Linked DNA regions of Schizosaccharomyces pombe. Changing the gene in region 2 together with the main gene of any one other region gives a genetic interaction. Each region holds a gene or a part of one and is shown on either strand. Other genes may lie near its edges.

Evidence for each region. Genes that interact genetically often act in the same process or in processes that back each other up.
Region 1: mutations in ate1 (region 2) and clg1 together harm fitness less than expected from each alone (positive genetic interaction), as found in Schizosaccharomyces pombe (2 studies listed by BioGRID).

Annotation. Positions count from the first base shown.
Region 1 is NC_003423.3:1,745,220-1,749,433, forward strand, and holds clg1 (cyclin Clg1), read right to left. Parts: upstream 2,598-4,214; 5' UTR 2,208-2,597; coding exon 822-2,207; 3' UTR 558-821; downstream 1-557.
Region 2 is NC_003424.3:2,076,555-2,080,848, forward strand, and holds ate1 (arginine-tRNA--protein transferase), read right to left. Parts: upstream 2,290-4,294; 5' UTR 2,177-2,289; coding exon 2,060-2,176; exon of another isoform or gene 2,006-2,059; coding exon 1,974-2,005; exon of another isoform or gene 1,933-1,973; coding exon 1,867-1,932; exon of another isoform or gene 1,813-1,866; coding exon 1,289-1,812; exon of another isoform or gene 1,243-1,288; coding exon 1,172-1,242; exon of another isoform or gene 1,131-1,171; coding exon 870-1,130; exon of another isoform or gene 831-869; coding exon 726-830; 3' UTR 553-725; downstream 1-552. Other genes in the region: AAA family ATPase Elf1, read right to left, coding at 2,720-4,294.

The sequences.
Region 1 (4,214 bases), on a different chromosome or scaffold from region 2:
AGAATCAAGTATAAGAGATTATATAAATCCGTTATCTCACTAGTAGACATACGACGAATGCGCAATAAAACTAGGTAATCATAACAAACAGTTTGGGAGTTGGAAAATCGCAATAAAAAATTTTATGCTTAATCCTTAGAAAACAGCAAGCAAAGGTTTCTCATTTAAGTATCAAAAGGAGAAAAAATAAACAAAATAAGGACAAAAACGATGCCCGAAGTAAAATCTTTGCTAATGAAACAGAAAAATAAACTCAAAGCATCCATGGGCCTTTTCATCTATTCACAATGTATTTCTTGATGAAGCTAGTTGTATAAGTAGACTACTAATTTTTGAAGGCGAACTTTAAAAAGGAAATCCGCGATCCCTATAGTAGTAGCGGATGTATATACATCAAGCAGTATTAACAAATCAGAATTGCATCAAAAGATATTCCAATAGATAACAAAGCCACACGAGAAAGCAAAATAAAAGTCCAACGACAAAAATAAAACAGATACTGATAAGAAGTTGGTTCCTTTTTTTCGGTATACTACTTTTCAATTTTTTTTGGGAAATTTTTTTTTTCTCTGTTAAAATTTGAAAAAATAAGAAAGTAGAAAAGCAAGATCAAACGGCAAATTAATTTCAAGAGAGCCGAATTCATCACGGAGATGATTAGAGAATACAATATGACGGGTTAAACAAAAGTTCCCGTCATACAATATGAAAAGAGAAAAAAGTTACAAGAATAACAAAAACACGTAAAGTGTTTATAAGCGCAAGGAAACGAAAAACAAACCCCGTCAAGCAACAACACCCGCAGAAAGTAAGCACGATCACTAAGTCATTGCATAGCGATTGTACACTGGATAATATCCCACGGGTGTATAGGGATAATAGTAGTTGCAATTAGAGCAAGAACGTCCAGAAGAGGGCGATGGTGGTGCGTTGGTGCTCAACGTAGTAGGGCTATAAGTTTTTTGTTCACCAGAGTATGTAGCGTTTGAGGAAGTAAACAAAGAATAAGAAGCACTCCACCACTCCCATGCCTTTTGACCACGAGGACCGGGACTAAGATTCCAGGACATGCTAGCTAGCCAGTCTTGTTCAAAGCTGTTCAACAAGGCAGTACGGAAACCAGTAACTTGCGACCAGGATTGATTGGTAAACGTATTGTCATCCAAAAACTTATTAGCCAAAATCAAGGCGGTCGTTAAAAGAGCACATATTTGGAAGAATAACGACTCCTTAGTCCACTGGTTTACAAAATCAGTCGTTTGAGATGCGGCGTCAAGACGATCGGAAAGGTATGACAAGGCAAGCAAGCAAGAGGCACGAGGTAAACGCGTAGACGTCAAAATTTGTGTAACGACCTTACGGAAAGAAAACACAAGACCAGGTAAAGAGTTAGCAAGAGAATGCATTTGAGCATTATTCAGGAAACGAGCATACAACTTACAAGTCATGATAGACAAGTATTCCACCATTTGATCCATCTTGTAATCCAGTTTAGCAGCAACACCTCCGGTATAAACGGTTTCTTCCTGATCCTCCATGTTAGTTTTGCAGACAGGAGAAATACGTTGTTGAACGTTAGCAACCGAAGGCATGTTAAGATTACCTGGGATTGTATTATCAGTCTCGGAGGTAGTAGTGGCGGTATTGTTGGTTACAGGCACATCTGCTACGGGATGTCGAGACTGATAAAAGGAAGGAGCACAATTGTTAGCAATCAAAGGGGCGGAAACGTTGTTACATGCAGCTGATACATTCACCGAATTGCCAAATTGATCTTGGTTAGGATTATAGGCAACGGCAGAGTCAGGCATATAGCGTTGCTGGGAGGGTGGTGGAGGTGCGGCAGATGGAACCGACTGATAAGATGGCCAGTAATAGTTTAGAGGCGCAGAAGGGTAGAGACGTGGTTGAGGTTGCTGTAAACGGTGCTGCGACAGAAGGGAAGGAACAGCGGAAGGATGATGAGAGGAGGAAGGGATGGAGAAGCCCGACCTTACCGAAAGCGTATCGGGCACAGAAACGCCAGGTAAGAAGGACGGACGACGCTGGCCAAGACCATACATAGGAGCATGACTCAACAAAGCAGCAACCGAAGAAGCAGAGTTTGCACTATTGCTGGACGAAACAGGAGCAAACATACTCAAGCCGGGGGCAGCCAAAGGAGGCTGAACTTGAGAACGTGAAGTGTGCTGATAAGGAAACGACATTGCTGAAGAATTTCGAAAAGGAAAGCAAATTGAAGAATTAAAAAAAAAATTTTTAACTCCTTTGCTATTCTACCTAATCAAGTCTTTTTCGAGTTTTGTAATCGATTTCTTGAGTACTCCTTTCAAGGAAAGAAGAATACAAAGGAAGAACGATAAAAAAAAATGAAAAAGAGATAAAGAATGCTCAACAATAAGAAATTTACCCAAGAGACAGGAAAAAGACTTATTAACACTCACTTCTAGCAAAACCCGACCAAGGAATGCTTGTTTCGCTGGCAAATAGACGAGGCTTAGTAAAAAGCTCGACTTCTGCAAAAAAACTGCTAATATAGAAGGAAAAAAATAGGATTGAACCCTCCAAACTAAATTTTACGGTGGTTGGTTGTGCGCAGGTTCTGAAAAGCTGGTAACGCAGTTGAAAATGCTTGCAACTTAGGAAAGAGAATTTTTTAGGAATAAAAAATTTCACTTTGTTAAGCACTGAAAAATAGCGTAGCGTTGAAGATTATTCAGCAAGAAAGTTAAACCCAAATTAAGATATCTAACGTAATAGATCGGTTAGATAACTTTATGGATTTTAATTAGCAATTGCCGGTGAGGAAAATTGGGAGCGAGGTAAACAAACAATGGGACAAGCAGGAAAAAAATCAAAGAAAAATAAGTTAAACGTAGCAAGACAAACAATAAGTATGTAAAGAGGAGAATTTGAAAGTTATCTAAATAAAGAAACAACTTGAGAAGTAAAAATCGAGTAGAAAGTGAAATGAAATGGAAGGAGCAATTAAAGAGGAGAGAATAAACAAGAACTGAGTATGATAGACGAAAAGTAGACGGAAAAAAGAAATTAAAGAGACAAGAGAAAATCAACTGGTGGATGTCTTTGTCGTATAAGAAAAGATGTATAAATAGAAATCAAAGATTAAAAAGGGAGGTAATGTTTACTTCAGCAAGTTGAGAAAAAAAAATTCAACAATTAGCTTTTCGAGACAATTTGGAGTGAAACGAAAAAAAAAGTAAAAAATAACAGTAAACAACAAAAACTGAAAAAAAAGGGGAGATGAAGAGCGAGTAAAGAAATCGGGTTTGTAATTATAAAAGGATAAGTAGGGATGAGCGATTAGATGAATGAAAAAACAGAGAGAGAGAGAGAGAGAGAAAAAGAAAAAAAAAAGGATTAAAAAGTAAAAGAAAAAGAAAAACAGACTACAAAATGTAAGCTGAAAAAAAAAAAAAAAAAAAAAAAAAAGTTGTTCAAGTCTCAAGACAGTATACAGTACGCAAACTTTTTTGAATAAGGGCTAACCAAAGCACTGAGTGAAGAGTGTATTGGCAGTTGGGGGGGAAGCCGTAGAAAGAAAGCAAGGCAGATGCTTTATATATATATATATATATATAACTATATGTACTTGAGTAAATAAATAAAAAGATGCGCGCATAAATACAATTGTAGCAGCGAAAGAAGAAAACGTAAACAAACAAACCAATGAAAAATTAGGAAACCAATGACAGCATGAATACTCAGGAAAATGAGAGAGAGAAAACGAAATTAAAAGAGGAGAGTGAAGGCACAGTAAAAGGAAAGGGAAACAAAATAACAAAGCAAAGCCAAAACAAAAACAAACGATGCTAGAAAAGAAGAAGGCGCGAAATCAAGGGCGCGCAAAAGAACAATTAAGAGTGTAGAGAAGAAAACGCGTGAAATTAAAAAATAAAAGGAAGAGAGGAAATGGGGAGGAAGGAAGGAGAAAACGCAAGCAAAGTTTGTTGATGTATATAGGCAAAAAGCCGTCGGAGCCAGAATGAGCATTAACGGAGCACATGAGAGGGAGACAAACCTTGTTGAGTGGAGAGTGGAAGGAGGGAAATGGAGGAAATCGTTAAATGGGATAATGAAAGAGAGAGAGAGAGAATAAGAAAAAAGAGCGAGGAAGAGTGGAGTGGTTGAGGGGAATAGTGGGGTGAAAGGAGGAGGAAGGAAGAAGGAAGGGAATGCAGGGAGTGATCGTT
Region 2 (4,294 bases):
AGCCTGTATTAAGAAAATCACAGTGCAAATTAATGAATTCTTTATACAAATGGTACAAAAATAGATAAAAGAACAATCCCTTATTACAACACCTTGTTTTAGGAAAGTAAAAGTAAAATAACTTCAAAATGGCATTCGAAGAAAAAATCAGTGCCTAGAAGTTGAATTGTAAGCCAACCGTGATTAATTATTTTTAAAATGCAGTCAACCCAATTTTGACACGAAATGTCATCGAAATCTGGTGTTTGCTAATACTCTATAGAATGAGAACCTAGCAGTAACACTTGAGAAAGAAAAAAGAAGAACAATTAAAGTAAAATCTCTTCTCTAAATGATAAAATCCTTTCTCACCTACTATGCACTGTTTTGCGATTATATTAAGTCGTGAAGTACCGGTAAACCCGTTTTTGTGTTTGGTTGCAAACAACTCGTAACGGAAAAGCCCACTAAGTTATGTTAGGGTGACATTTTAGGTAGCGTGCAGTTATAAATAATTACAAAATAAATATATAAGCCGGCAGTATTTTATATTATTAGAAATGCTATCAACTTCGATTAAGGGACATAAAAGAGGAAACTATCACACATAAGTAGTAGCATAAAATTAACTTAATTCTGTAAGTCACATTGTAAAATTTACTCTCAAAGCCATCCTGGAGTTCATTAAGATTTTTAAGTAGGATGTTCATATCTTAAGCAAATAAAACACGTAGACAGATAATATATCAACTAGATAAAACAAGTGTATAACTCTTTGCGACTTCTTCGCCCACAGCAGCATTGATTTCAACAAACCAATGTTTAACCTGAGGGAAATAACTTAAAACATGCTGAAGAATTAGCATTGTTACTCAAAAATAAAGACATACTCTTGTGGGGAAAGTTGAATTGCCAATGTTAGCAAAATTCTCCGAAACCAAGGACTCAGCAACATTTACTGAAAGAATTCCAGGAAGCTGTCGATTAAACAGTGTATAATCATCTTCGTTTTGAGATGAATCTTCAGAAGAATCGTAGTCAACAGCAGTTTGAATATCACTATTATTTTCATCCCCGAAACTTATATATTTAGGAGCACCAGTATTCCAAAGTGAAGTAAAGTTTTCAATTGGTATCCATTTATTTGTACCCTGTTTGTATTAGTTCAAGTTAAAATCGAATGTATACGTACGGGATTAAGCAGGTACGATGGACTATACGTTGCCTTATACTTCATTTTGGGACATGTGTGAATATAATAACCTGCAAGGTCAATCAACGTAATTAAATAAATGACATTTTAGCCTACCCATGTAGTAGTACCGATATCCGCATTCAAGAGCAAGCCAGATTTCACGGCAGGCACTAATCCTTCCCAGAGAAAACTTAGACATATCAGGATCATAAAACAGATAAACGCTAGAAACACCATGTGGTAGCAAGTCTAAAACTCCAACTGCCACAAGCCTTCCTTGAAATCGATACATCTGATGATAAGAACCATACTTTATCCCCTTGTCTTCATTAAATAAAGGAGAGTTGCAAAGAAACCTGCTAAATCCTTTTTTCGTGATTTCCTCTTCTTTCTCTAAATGAACTTGCATTTGATACTTTTTGAAGACTTCAAATTTCTCATCGGTGTAAGTGCAAGGCTCCATAGTTACAGAGTATTTTTCAGCTCCGAGCGATTCTATAGTTTGAAAGGCATTGTTCAAATAATCTGTGCTAATTTCGCTTTTCATAGGTTTTAATGGCTTTCCATTTACATATTTGACCCATTTTTTTATTGCCTTCTTTTGCTCTTTTGCAATTTTAAAATTATAGCTGTCGAGTCTTCAACATTCGGCGGTTAGTAATCAATCATATTTGGCGACTTATGCTAAGTACCTGATTGTATAAAGAGAACAGCAAGATGTTTTCCCGTTGGGTTTATATAAATAATGTCCTGAACGTCTTATTTTATATTAGCAATGTTAACTAATAAAGGTTTTTACCTCCATCCCAAATCAATCAATCGCTGGTAGTCCTGAGGTTAAATGTAGGTTAGCAAAATTTGCAAAAAGCAGAGTTATACGCTTACTTCACAACTGAGCTTTTCTGCTAATAAACCAAAATGCTCGGTCTTTCTTCCACTTTTACAATAACCACATTCAGTACTGACGTTGTACCCTGTGTACAACAGTTTATCCAATACCATACTATTGTTTGAAAATTTCCCTGTTTAATATTAAATGAACTATATCATCAGTAGTAAAACTCTTAGTTCAGTTCTTTTGCCTTTATTTTGAAGGCTCTTTGAGTAGGTGAACTAAGACTACACCAATTATTTCTTGAAGATTAAGTACCCTATTTTTCGTTGAGTGCATGTTTATAGAAATTTCCTGATTAATCATATTAAAAAGTCTATCACATTTTCATACGAATATCTAGAAAAAAACCCAAAAAATACATAGTTCTCTTGACACCTTTTACAAGAGTCAATGACAAAAGTGTATACGTCTAATACAACTATAACATGCACTAACGATAAACAAAACATATAAAAAGCGACTAATATTAATATTATCCACGATACCATCCACCAAGTTCTATATATATAAATTAAGTCTAAAAGGTATATCAGTAAACCGTAAATATGTAAAAGACCAACTTCAACAACTAGCACCGTCTAAAGAAAATTAAAGGATAAACAACTCTCAACTTGTCAATCCAAAGAGCGAATTAAAAAATTAGTCTGAAATTATTCTTCATCATCAGAGAAGAATGATTTGGGTTTTTCGGTGCCCTTGGGAGATTGTAACCATGCTAATTCTCTCTCTCTAGCACGTCTTTCTTTGGCCTTGATTTCATTTCTCGTCAATTTCTTCTTTTTGGTAGCTTTAGCCTCAATCTTTTTCAAATCTTTCTCCGACAGATCTTCAAACTTTCCATCGTCAACAGCGGTCTTGCCCTTACCGGTAACCTTACCCGCTTCTACATGCCAGTGTTCAGGACACAACGCAGAAACAAATTCTTCATTATGTGAAATCATAACGACCCCACCTTCCCAATCACGAATAGCAACAGCTAAACCACCTAATGCATCTCTGTCCAAAAAGTTTGTAGGTTCGTCCAAAACCAAAAGCTGGGGGTTATTCCAGAGACACGCAGCAATAACAACTTTAACCTTTTGACCGCCAGACAAACTACTAATGGGGCTGTAATCAGCAATGTCGCCAGGAAGGCCCACATCCTCAAAATGTGCCCTGATGTCTTCGGGAATCAATTCACGGAAACCGAGACCTTCGCGAGAAGATTCCATATCATCAAAAGCCTGTACAAACTTTTGAAACCCATTTTCAAGCAATATTTCTCGAGACACCCACGTATTGTATTTATGAGGCTTCCCAAACCATTTAATTTCATATTGAAATGACTTTTTTAGTTTTTGACGGCCAATCAAAGCTTCCACTCTTCTACGTTCGCCATTGACCGTAATATCACGCTGAAGCTGAGCACGGTCTTCTTCGGTAAGTTTTCGAGATTCCTTCTCTGAAACTTCGCGGTCCTGTCCTCCAGCATAACGCCATTGAATATATTGACTTGGCGTTTTTTCCAGATGTTGATCCAAGTGATGAAAGGCATGCTGAGCAACGTAACCCACACGCAAGTTGGGATGCTTGAAAACTTTTCCTTCTTGAGGGATTACTTCACCGATAAGAACTTTAATAAGCGTTGATTTACCAGCACCGTTAGGACCTAAAATGGCAACACGAGAAGATAAAGATAACCCAACGGTAACATTATCTAATGACTTCTTCTTCGCGTTGGGATATGTATAAGAAGCGTTTGTCATTTTTAATATGAGACGTGTGTTTGAGCGCACACCAGTTAAGATACCGGGAGGTGGAAAAACAAACTTCTCGTTTGTGGCTGTCAATGTATAGTATGATTTAGCTTCCGGTTTGACCTTGACAAAAGCTGAAAGATTACCTTGATAATAACCAAGCTTTTTTGCCTGGTTTTTAACACCTTCATAATGAATGATGTCAGTACACACGTGGTCCAAAAATGAAGAGTCGTGAGAAACTATCAAGCAAGTAATATTCTTTTGAGAGGTTAAATATGCTTCCAGCCATGCAATATTGGCAACATCAAGATGATTTGTTGGTTCATCCAAAAGCAAAATATCAGCTTTCTGCAACATGGCACGAGCCAACTCCAGTTTCATTTTCCAACCACCAGATAAAGAAGCAACAGGATTTTCCTGCATCTCCGCAGTAAAACCAACAGAATGCAAAGCATCAGCAGCTTCTTGACGGGTAACATTCATAGT